Arabidopsis thaliana: one gene and its partner. The protein of the gene in region 2 interacts with the protein of the main gene of each other region in a pairwise test. Each region holds a gene or a part of one and is shown on either strand. Other genes may lie near its edges.

Region 1 (5,774 bases), on a different chromosome or scaffold from region 2:
ACTTCAAAATACTCATAAACAAACACTGCAAAAAGTATTCAATTATGACCAAGTATGACATATTAATCAAAACTTTGAAATACACATAAACAAATGCAAATATGTGTCATACCTTTAGTGAGAACTTATGTTCCATAGCGCAAATGTTCCTTAATATTGTTCCAAAAATTATTTGTCTTCCAACATCATAATGATTTCGTTGACCCTCAAATCCGCATTAATTCATATTGTTCAACCTCCACATCTAATATCTCCCAACAACTCATTGAAATCTCTTTTTGACTTTCTATAAACTTACATAATAGTCAAACATTGCATTAACAACCCCATTCCAAAAGTCTAACCCTCCATTAAATCAACGGGAAAAATGTCAATTAATCCCCTAACTTTTAAAAAATGGCCATTTTATACATCAATTTCGTATGCGGCCGTTTAAAACATGAACTAAAAGTTGACTAACTTTTAAAACATGATTATTCGTTGACCAGGCCAAAAAAGACATGCCATTATCAGTCATTAACGGAACTTCTAACGTCCGTTATCATCCGTTAACAACTTTATTAGTCAAGTTATAAATTGTGGTCATTTTAAACATCGACTTTATATGTGGCCATTTTAAACATGAACTAAGCGTTGATTACCATTTAAAACATGAGAAATTCGTTGACCAAGCCAAAATAAACATGTTGTCATCATTCATTAAAAGAACTTATAACATTCATTATCACTTGTTAACGACTCTATTAGTATCCCTAAAACGACTTTGTTTTGAGAGTAATCAAAAGAAAATCAGGATTGTTTTCTAAATGAAACCCTACTTCCCCAAATCTATTTTTACAACCGCTCAAACAAGACGAACAATCTTATAATGAGTCTTCAATTTGCTTCCATGATTCCTTTTAAAATTTAAAACAAATATATAAACGAAAACACCTTTATTTGCTTCCAATTACTGGCACTGCGATTATCTCTTTATCAAACTATGTTCTTGGGTTCTGCTTAAAACTTTTTGATATGGAGATTTCATATGGAAAAAATCTTTATGTTCTTTCGATTATTCTTGAACGACGTTATTTTGGACAGATTAACAGTCATTAACGGGTTTCTAGGTTCTACTGATAAAGACATGTCTATTTTGGCCTGGTCAACGAATTTTTCATGTTTTAAATGGTATTCAACGTTTAATTCATGTTTTAAATAGCCACATAAGAAGTTGATGTTTAAAATGGCCACAATTTGAAACTTGACTAATAAAGTTAACGAATGATAACGGACGTTAGAAGTTCCGTTAATGACTGATAACGGCATGTCTATTTTGGCCTGGTCAACGAAAGATCATGTTTTAAAAATTAGTCAACGTTTAGTTCATGTTTTAAACGGCCACATATGAAATTGATGTATAAAATGGCCATTTTTTGAAAGTTGGGGGATTAAATGACATTTTTCCCCTAAATCAACCATCACAAATCATAACTAGATCAAACAGAGTAATGGTAACTTTACGAACCATATCATTAAATACATATGCCTACACATTTATATACCAATTACTTTGCTAAACATCATTTTCTTACATGACACCACTAAATATATCAAACAAGAAATTATGAAAATGTAGTAAGAATTTTTTCTTTCTCGGTAGTAAGATTAAAATCCATTCAAAAGACTACTAAAAAAAAATCTAAAACTAATTTTGTTATAGAAAAAAAATTACAAAACCAACCCCTCTATTTCTCAAAATATTACAAAACTACCAAACTAATTAATTCTTCAAGCCGAACCAAACACCAAACCACTCACGCTAGGAGTTACATGCTCCTGCATCGTGGACTGGTGATGACGGTGCTCTCCTTCGTACGTCACAATCAACATCGTTGAATCATCCAAAGCTCTTTCCACGTGTTTCCTCGCTGGACATCCTCTAAATGTACTACACTTGTAATAACCCCTGAAATCAACAAAAACAAATCACAACCGTTAGATCTCCAATGTTTCACAAATAAATCAACGGTGGATAGCGATGGTGTACGATAGTTACCGTGGATGTGGTGAGCCTTTGATCGGTTTTTGTCCATACTTTCTCCATGAATATTCGTCTGGTGGTATATCGGCGATCTTTGCACTTACCGCCGGTACTCTCACGGTTCTCTTCATCCGATTTTTTCGGCTGTTAATTAAATAATAAAACATTGTAATTAGTGAAATGATTTAACGTGCGCTGACACGACTAACGTGAACATGCATCAGGTTAGCAAAAGTCAACGGGCAGACAAAGACTTTTAAAACGTAAAAACTTTCCCTATACAAAACGACAGCACCCACTAACTTGTCCTTGTCAGGCGTGCACTTTGGTTTAAGTTACTGTCGTTGACTTTCACTAAATACATTGACCGATTGGTTTAGATAGTACCAAACCGGTCTACAAAGTATTAAACCCGGATTTTTATTCTTTATTTTTTACTGAGACTAGTTAATTTAACTAGTAGACTTGTTCATGATTGACAAATTCGAGGCAAAAAAAGAATTTTGAAATCTGAATTCGTGATATATTTTCACTGAGTCCGTGAGCGATTGGTTTAGACCGTATCGAACCAAACAATTAACTACTACTAGGCTAGTCAAACAAATGATTAATTTATTGTGGAGTAATAACAATACCTTTTCTTGCAATGGCACTTGCCGTTGCCGGAGCCAGAGATCTTGCCGGAAAAGCCTTCAGAGTGGTCATGTTCAAAGCATCTCTTCCTGTAAGGAAGACCAGAAAGCGGCGGTTTCCCGGAGGAAGTCACTGGCACCGCTGGAGCCGGAGCAAGAAAGATCGAAGAGCCTTTAGAGACACTTCCATCACCGGTGATCGCAGAAGACATGAAAGAAGAGTTAGAAGATACGCTAAAGCTCTCTTTAGCAAACTCAACAACCTCCGAGCTCTTGGTTTTAGCGCCAAAAACGCTCGGTCTAGTGAAATCTAACGTCACGCTTTGTTGATTTGCCTGAACGAAGCTAACCGGTGCTGGAGCAGAGATCTGAGTGGGAGCCGGAGTTGTCACTTTCACCGGTGGAGGAACGGAGGAGGAAGGAGGGGAATGAACCGGACCACGTCTAAACCGGGCGTGACCGGAACGGTTAAGAAGAGAGATAACTTTCTTGAACTTAGAAACTGTGAAATCAGTGATCTCAGAGCAATCAACGTTACGTTCTTCGGGACGGTTAGAGAGGACACGAATCAAGTGTTCCATGCTTTTTAAGCCTTGTGATGCAGCTTCTTGTATAGCCGTTTGATCTTCCATCTTAGGTAAACGCATAATATCAACGGTCATGATGAGAAACCAGAGGAGAAACTTGAAGATCTGAGAAGATGTGCAAGTTTTTTTTGATGAATGAGAGAGCGAAACTGGAAGAAAAAAGAATGGCGTTGGCGTGATATATGGGGTTATGGGTGTGACCGAGTGACCGGTTGAGTAGGTTTAAGATGGAGTTTAGTCAAATCGGTGCTTTAGATCTAACGGCTGAGATTGAGTTGAAGATTTCTATGGAATAAAGTAATCAAAGTTTGGTCTCCTTGAGTTGTGAGATATGTAGGGTCTTCTTTTGTGCAAAGCAAGAATTTATAATCGTGTCTTTAAAATAAAGGAATCATTGTGCGTAAACTTGAATTTGGGGAAAATGGTGGTAAAGGAATTTCAAAGAAACAAAAAGTCAAATAAAAAACATTAAAGGATGGTGTCTAAAGAAAATCATAAAGCTTTTTTAAAGTCTCATATCTATTTTTTCTTTTATTAGGTATCTTATGTCTTCAAGTTCAAGTCAATAAATTTAAAATTAAAGGTAATGAATTGTTTTTATTTGTATGAACAATTGGGCTGATTTTTTTTTGTTTCTTTGGAATATTAGAAGGTCTTTAACCAAAATCCATAATTTATTCTTGAACCAAATCAAAATATGTAATATTAATTTCATCTCAAATCACATATTTTTCTTTAATAGGACTGGATTTTGATAGAATAAATTTTCAGCTAATTGTAAAATGGTATTAATTTCTTTTGTGATTTTGACTTTTGATAATATATTTTATGTTTTTTTATTTTATTCGTGTTAAGTTTTAGGCGTTATTCATGTTCTTTTTATGTTTTTGTGTTATTTTTAGCTTCAACCAACACTACAACTTGTCAATATTATATGGTGCACACATACCAAACTCGTGTTTGCAGCATATTTTTATTATTTCAATTTCTTTCTAGAATTATTACTAATTTTGCAGTGCATTGACAATAATAATTATTTGAAAATAATATTTGACTCCCATATTAACTTTGCACCTAATATATATTTTTTTTTTCTTACCTCATAGCCTTCTAGAAAACGTCTTGACTGGAAAACTAGTAAATTGAAAACAATCTTTTCTTGACTTTTAATTTTACCTAATTAATCTACACAGATTGTGGAACAATTAACAATCATTAATAGAGATTAAAGGCTATAATAACAGCGACAATCGTTGACTATATCTTATTAGTATAGTCTACAAGTCTTTAGTTGAGAACAGCGATAAAGAAAAACGACAAAGTAGGAAAACAAAAGCTGACTACAAATAAAATAAAAGTGATCACATGGACGCATTTCTTTTTAAAACACAGAACTATTGACTACCTCGGTAACCGAGTGATTCCGGTTAACTATTATCTGGGCCGTTGATAATCCAAAAGTTAGATCCAACGGTGGATCTGTGAACTGTGGAGTTGACTCTTTGATATTATTCTCTTTAACTACTTTTTTTTTGAGAATCTAAAAAACACCTTTTACCACGGCAACTGATCTTCCGACACGTGGCAATTCTGGCTGACTCATAAATTGTCACCTGTCCACAAGATTCTTTTTTTTTTGTTGCTTATAGAAATAAAGTAAACAATACCAATACAGTTAGGAATGGAGGAAATTAAATGAATAAAAAGAGCCAATTTGCAGCTCGATCTAATCCTACTTGAGGAGATAATTTGAAGTTTTCTCTACATTTTTCTAAATAAGGTTTAATTGGTAAATTTTTAATCGCATTTATAAAATGGCATATAGATTTTAGAAGATTTATTACTAATCACCAAAGCAGAAACATGAGTAAATATTAACATTACTATAAATTACTTTTTAATCTTTTGTTTACTTTCAAACTTCAGTTAAAACAACTCTTTGTTTCAATACACCACCGTTTTCCGGTGATTTCAGTTTGTCGGAATATACATGTTTCGATAATTTTGGTATATGCAGTGTTTTCTTGTAGTTGTTATATGCAGTGTTTTCTTGTAATTATACTTATTCAAAAATTCCAAAGTTTTATCACTTGTAGAAGAAAATATCAACCATACTTACTTAGCTGAATTCTTTTAAGCCAAGAAGACTACATGAAAGAAAAAGAAAAAGAAAATTACGACGTGTTTTCTTTGTCAATGATATATGACGTGTTATGTGTGCAAAAACAGACCTCAAGATGTATAATTGAAACATTTTTAAATATTTGTCAACGGAATGCATTATAAATTAGCGACATGGGAATCGTTGACCTAACCGACTAATATATATGATTGTCGTGCACGTCTACATTTTTTTTAAAAGCATTTTATTTTTTCATTTCTGATTTTGTAAACTTTTACTTACTTTTAAATTCCTTTTCTATATCAAATTTTAATGTCCTTTTCTAAATTTATAATTTATGAATCTCTAAAAATATATTATACTATATATTTCAATGTTATCTCCTCTAAAAATGTCTCCTTTATATCTTA
Region 2 (4,633 bases):
GATACAAAAAAAAAAAACAAAGGGGACAAAGAATGGTGTGGAGAAAAAAGTTTGAAGAAGAAAGAAAAAAAAGTGAGGAAATTGTGATGATAATGGTAGGGGTGGTGGGGAACATATCTCTTCTTTATCAGTTTCCCTTTTTTTTTTTCTCTCTCAAAAATCATGTTTGGAGTTTCTTTTGGTTCAAGCTAAATCTTTTTCTCTTCTTCTTTCTAATAGTATCTATTTGTTTCTTCAAACCAAACGATATCTACGCAATACATGTCGGTTATTGTGATAACGACATTGTTTGGATGTTTCGGGTTCAAAAGATTTGTATGAATGTGTATACTATATATGTTTTTGGCTCAATGATAAAGACACTTGATAAGAGATTCAGGATCGTTTCAAATTATTTTAAAAAACTATATATAATATGAAAAACACTTTAATACTTAAGAATACTATTTGTAATCCGTAAAACTTTAAGTTCTAAAACCATTAATTAAAAATAAGAAACAAGTTACGTTGTACATATAAACTAAAAGACGGAATGGAATATGATTTGATTGTAAAAATAACTTTGGACAAAATCTTCCAATTATAAAAGAGAGAACAAAGAGTTCTAATCATATTGATTGGTAGGTCATGAAGAAGCTTAAGGAGTGATTGTAGAAGAGTGGAAGTGGAGGCGACAAAGTGAGGAGACACGTGGAAAAAGGCACGTGACGTGGGGAACGTGAAATGTTGTCGATAGTGTTTACTGTCTCGTGCTTGCAAAACTATATGTATGTTTTGGAGTGTGAGAATTGTGACGTATCCTCAGTCCTTAGTCCATAGGCGAAGCATCTCTCATTAGCTCCTCTCTTTAAGGTTACGCATTCATTACTCATGCTTCCCTTCTCTCATTTTCTTTCTTTTTCTATATTCCCCTCTATTTGTTTCTTCGCTTCTAATTTATTACATGTAACGTACAAAACCAAGAAGCATGCACTTTTTTCTGGTGACCAAAGTTTAATATATCAACCGAATTGACTATACCACATACATGTTTCTATCTAAATCCAATGAATATTACACAAATAGAATCTTGGTGTGCCAACCAAAGAGAAGCATTTATTAAAGTCACTATTTTGAATACTAACGACGGATAAGACTAAGATCACCAATATGATGTGTTTTGGTCTCTGCCATGAAAAGATACAGAAATTCTGATTAAGATTTGTGGGAGATTAGCACCACTTGATTCACTTTGATTGCTACACATAAAAGGTTGGTAAATTGGTTTAGTATTGGAAAAATATAGTAGTGGTTGGACTTGACTATAGATGCTTCATGATAAGATAAATTAAAAGGAACAATCAAATTAGTAGAGGAGTGTAATTACTAACAGCGACGTGGATTAAAATCATGGAAAGCTCAAACTCTTGTCATGCTTAGATACAATGGAGTCCACGTAGACTATTTTCAATATTTTTTGTCATAATTAAAGAACATTATTAGAGAGTTAATGACGTACATGAGACGTGTTTAGCAGTTGATATTCAATTTAAAAAACATTTTGACATACTTTAATGCTAAAACAAAAACATTTTTTTTGCTTAAAGTGTCTCGCGGTTATAAAAAAAACCTTAATTATGGAAGTGTTGTTTGTCGAACCCACGAATGCATCAATGCGCGTCACGATAGTCTCATGCATTGAACTTGATTTTACTAAGACGGATAATGAAGTAAACTATGTATTGTACATTGGTCTACATTTATTTAAGAAAACATGTTCTTATCCGGTTTAGAACTATCTTGTCTACGTTCATATGATTCCTTAAATCTAAGCCTAAACTTTTTAAACTAAATCAGTCACAGTTTCTTATTCATTTATAGTGTTTTAACAAAATAATTCAGTTAATTCTAAAATCCAACCCTAATTATTTTATAAGAAATCAAACAATCTTTTTTCTTTTTTTTTTTGTTAAACGAAAGGTAGTACTAGGAGTCGAGTATATTTACATTGAAACAAACAAAATTTAATTAGAACACACCCAGCAAAAAAATCCGAGCACAAAGTCAAAACCAACACTTTGACCAAGTGTCTGCATGACACGTGTATTTGTCTGCTACATGGACAACATCTTTAACAACACTGTCTCATCATTCCACCATTTTCTTTAATTAAAAAAAAAACATATCAGAAAGACCATTCCAATATTATTACTTCTTCCTTTTAAGCTCTAACAATTAAATAAAAATTTCCATTCTCTATATATAATACACACACGTTCAAATCATTAATCACCTGTTTTAGATAAAATCATAGAGAGAGAGAAATAGTAAAAGAAATAAAAAAAAATGGGAAGAGGGAGAAGCTCATCGTCTTCATCGATAGAGAGCAGCTGCAAAAGCAACCCATTTGGTGTGTCTTCGAGTAATACTCGGAACCTAAGCACGGACCTGAGACTCGGGCTCAGCTTCGGATCATCTTCCGGACAATATTACAACGGTGGAGATAACCATGAATATGATGGAGTCGGTGCGGCAGAGGAAATGATGATCATGGAAGAAGAAGAGCAAAACGAGTGTAATAGTGTCGGAAGCTTCTACGTGAAAGTGAACATGGAAGGAGTTCCTATTGGGAGAAAGATCGATCTTTTATCTCTTAATGGATATCATGATTTGATCACAACTCTCGACTACATGTTCAATGCTTCAATCCTTTGTAAGTATCTACACACACTTAATTACATCTTTGCATGTAGACTTAGTTAATATTTATATTTGTTATACCTCTCTTTGCATGTATATAGTTAAGACCAAAACTAATGGCAATAAAAAAATTGTGAAAATAGGGGCTGAAGAAGAAGATATGTGTAGTGAGAAGAGTCACGTGCTAACGTACGCAGACAAAGAAGGTGACTGGATGATGGTTGGAGATGTTCCTTGGGAGTAAGTTCTTTTTTAATTTTAGTGTATTAAAAATCTCTAGTTAAGTATTTTTTTTGACATAATTATGTAAAAATTCCCTTTAATTAATGGGGACTTAATTGATTATGTAGGATGTTCTTGTCTAGCGTGAGAAGACTAAAGATCTCAAGAGCTTATCACTACTGATTTTCTAAAAGCAAACTTGGAAGAATCTAGGATTGACCAATACAGTCAGTGGTGGTGGGGGAAAAAGTTAGTTTTGTCTGAATGTAAATCACTTGTTCGAGATTTTATTCAAATTTTGTTTCTAGTTTTATTACATTTATAAAAAAATCGGTTGTAACTTGTAATGAAGCTATTTTTTTCAAGAAAAAAAGCTGTAGCTAATGCAGATCCTTTTTGGTTTAGTAGTTATTTTTATGGTTTTAGACATAGATTAGATAATACTAGAAATATGAATTGTTTTGGAACACTGCTGAATTAGGTTCATATTCGTATTCTAGTTTTCACAAAGTTTCAGTTGAGTTACTAGTTTAACCAAATCAAGATCTATTTCATATTTTCATACTATCATTTACTTCTCAATTCAACTATTTTACCGGAATAAACAGTGAAATATAGTTGTTCTAGTTATGGAATCTGAAATTGAAAAATAATTGTCAAAAAATTTCAACAGACTCTGTCGGAGATATTACAATTGTTCCGCTCACCAAAAGCATTAAAGCCCATACAAGGAAAACAAAAACAAAAACTCTTAAGCCACTCTGATTATTTTCCTCACTGCACACAAATTTACACGAAAACAACAAAAGATGAAAGAAAGCATCATTTTTCAAAATCGAAGAGGTTTCTTCAGAATCAAGCAAACTGTGTTTCCCCTTTGATGTTCAAAACTTCACAGTAACTTACCAAGAAAGTAACCATGGTGATCTACTTAAACCACTTGATATCTCCATATTATTTTCCGATAACCCGAAACAATCAGATCCATGTTCCGGGAATATACTCTCTTTCAAAGAATCACAAGTAATTTCCGGCGAAACCCACTGTGAATAACCTCTCACATTCGAGCATTCCCATGGTGATTTCTTCGAATTCTTCTTCACTCTAAGAGTAACATTAAGGAAACATATATTCTTAAACACATCTCCTTCTATACCTTCAAGAAGACCCGCAACACCTATTCCATCGCCATTTACATTCTCAAAGGTGATTTTCTCTATAGCTGGGAGTGCTTTGGGATCGTATTTCTCATCAGGATGTTCACCGTACTTACCGGTGAACCTAATCGCTTTCTTTACATTATCGAGCTTCACGTTCAAGATGTGAACGTTTCTAACATACCCGCCTCTTCCAGCAGAAGTCTTGATTCTGATTCCAGTATTCGAATTGAACAAATGTAAGTCTTTAATGTATATTTCGGATACACCTCCCGACATTTCACTTCCTATTGCTATTCCTGAGCTTGAAGTAGTTTGACCTGTTAACCGATTAATCTTGATCTTGGAGCTCGGTCTTGCGTAGGATATTCCATACTCATCCCATCCGCTTTTTATCGATACCAAATCATCCCCGGTAACTATGTAACAATCCTCTATGCAAACATTAGTTGATGAATCTGCAAACAGAACAATTTCCAAAGATAATAATAAGGTACATATCTTGAATCTACGAGTAAAATTTGCAAGGAAACTCACCTGGATCAACTCCATCTGTATTTGGAGATTCAAGAGGA

What was found.
Region 1: the proteins of IAA30 (region 2) and WRKY17 interact in binary tests that used the Arabidopsis thaliana proteins (3 or more experiments, as listed by UniProt).

What each region holds. Positions count from the first base shown.
Region 1 is NC_003071.7:10,435,906-10,441,679, forward strand, and holds WRKY17 (WRKY DNA-binding protein 17), read right to left. Parts: upstream 3,565-5,774; 5' UTR 3,318-3,564; coding exon 2,659-3,317; intron 2,168-2,658; coding exon 2,039-2,167; intron 1,949-2,038; coding exon 1,771-1,948; 3' UTR 1,448-1,770; downstream 1-1,447.
Region 2 is NC_003074.8:22,993,510-22,998,142, forward strand, and holds IAA30 (indole-3-acetic acid inducible 30), read left to right. Parts: upstream 1-2,176; 5' UTR 2,177-2,325; coding exon 2,326-2,692; intron 2,693-2,822; coding exon 2,823-2,919; coding exon of another isoform or gene 2,920-2,923; exon of another isoform or gene 2,924-3,029; coding exon 3,030-3,084; 3' UTR 3,085-3,300; downstream 3,301-4,633. Other genes in the region: AT3G62110 (Pectin lyase-like superfamily protein), read right to left, coding at 3,804-4,516, 4,596-4,633. UniProt on the Arabidopsis thaliana protein: Aux/IAA proteins are short-lived transcriptional factors that function as repressors of early auxin response genes at low auxin concentrations.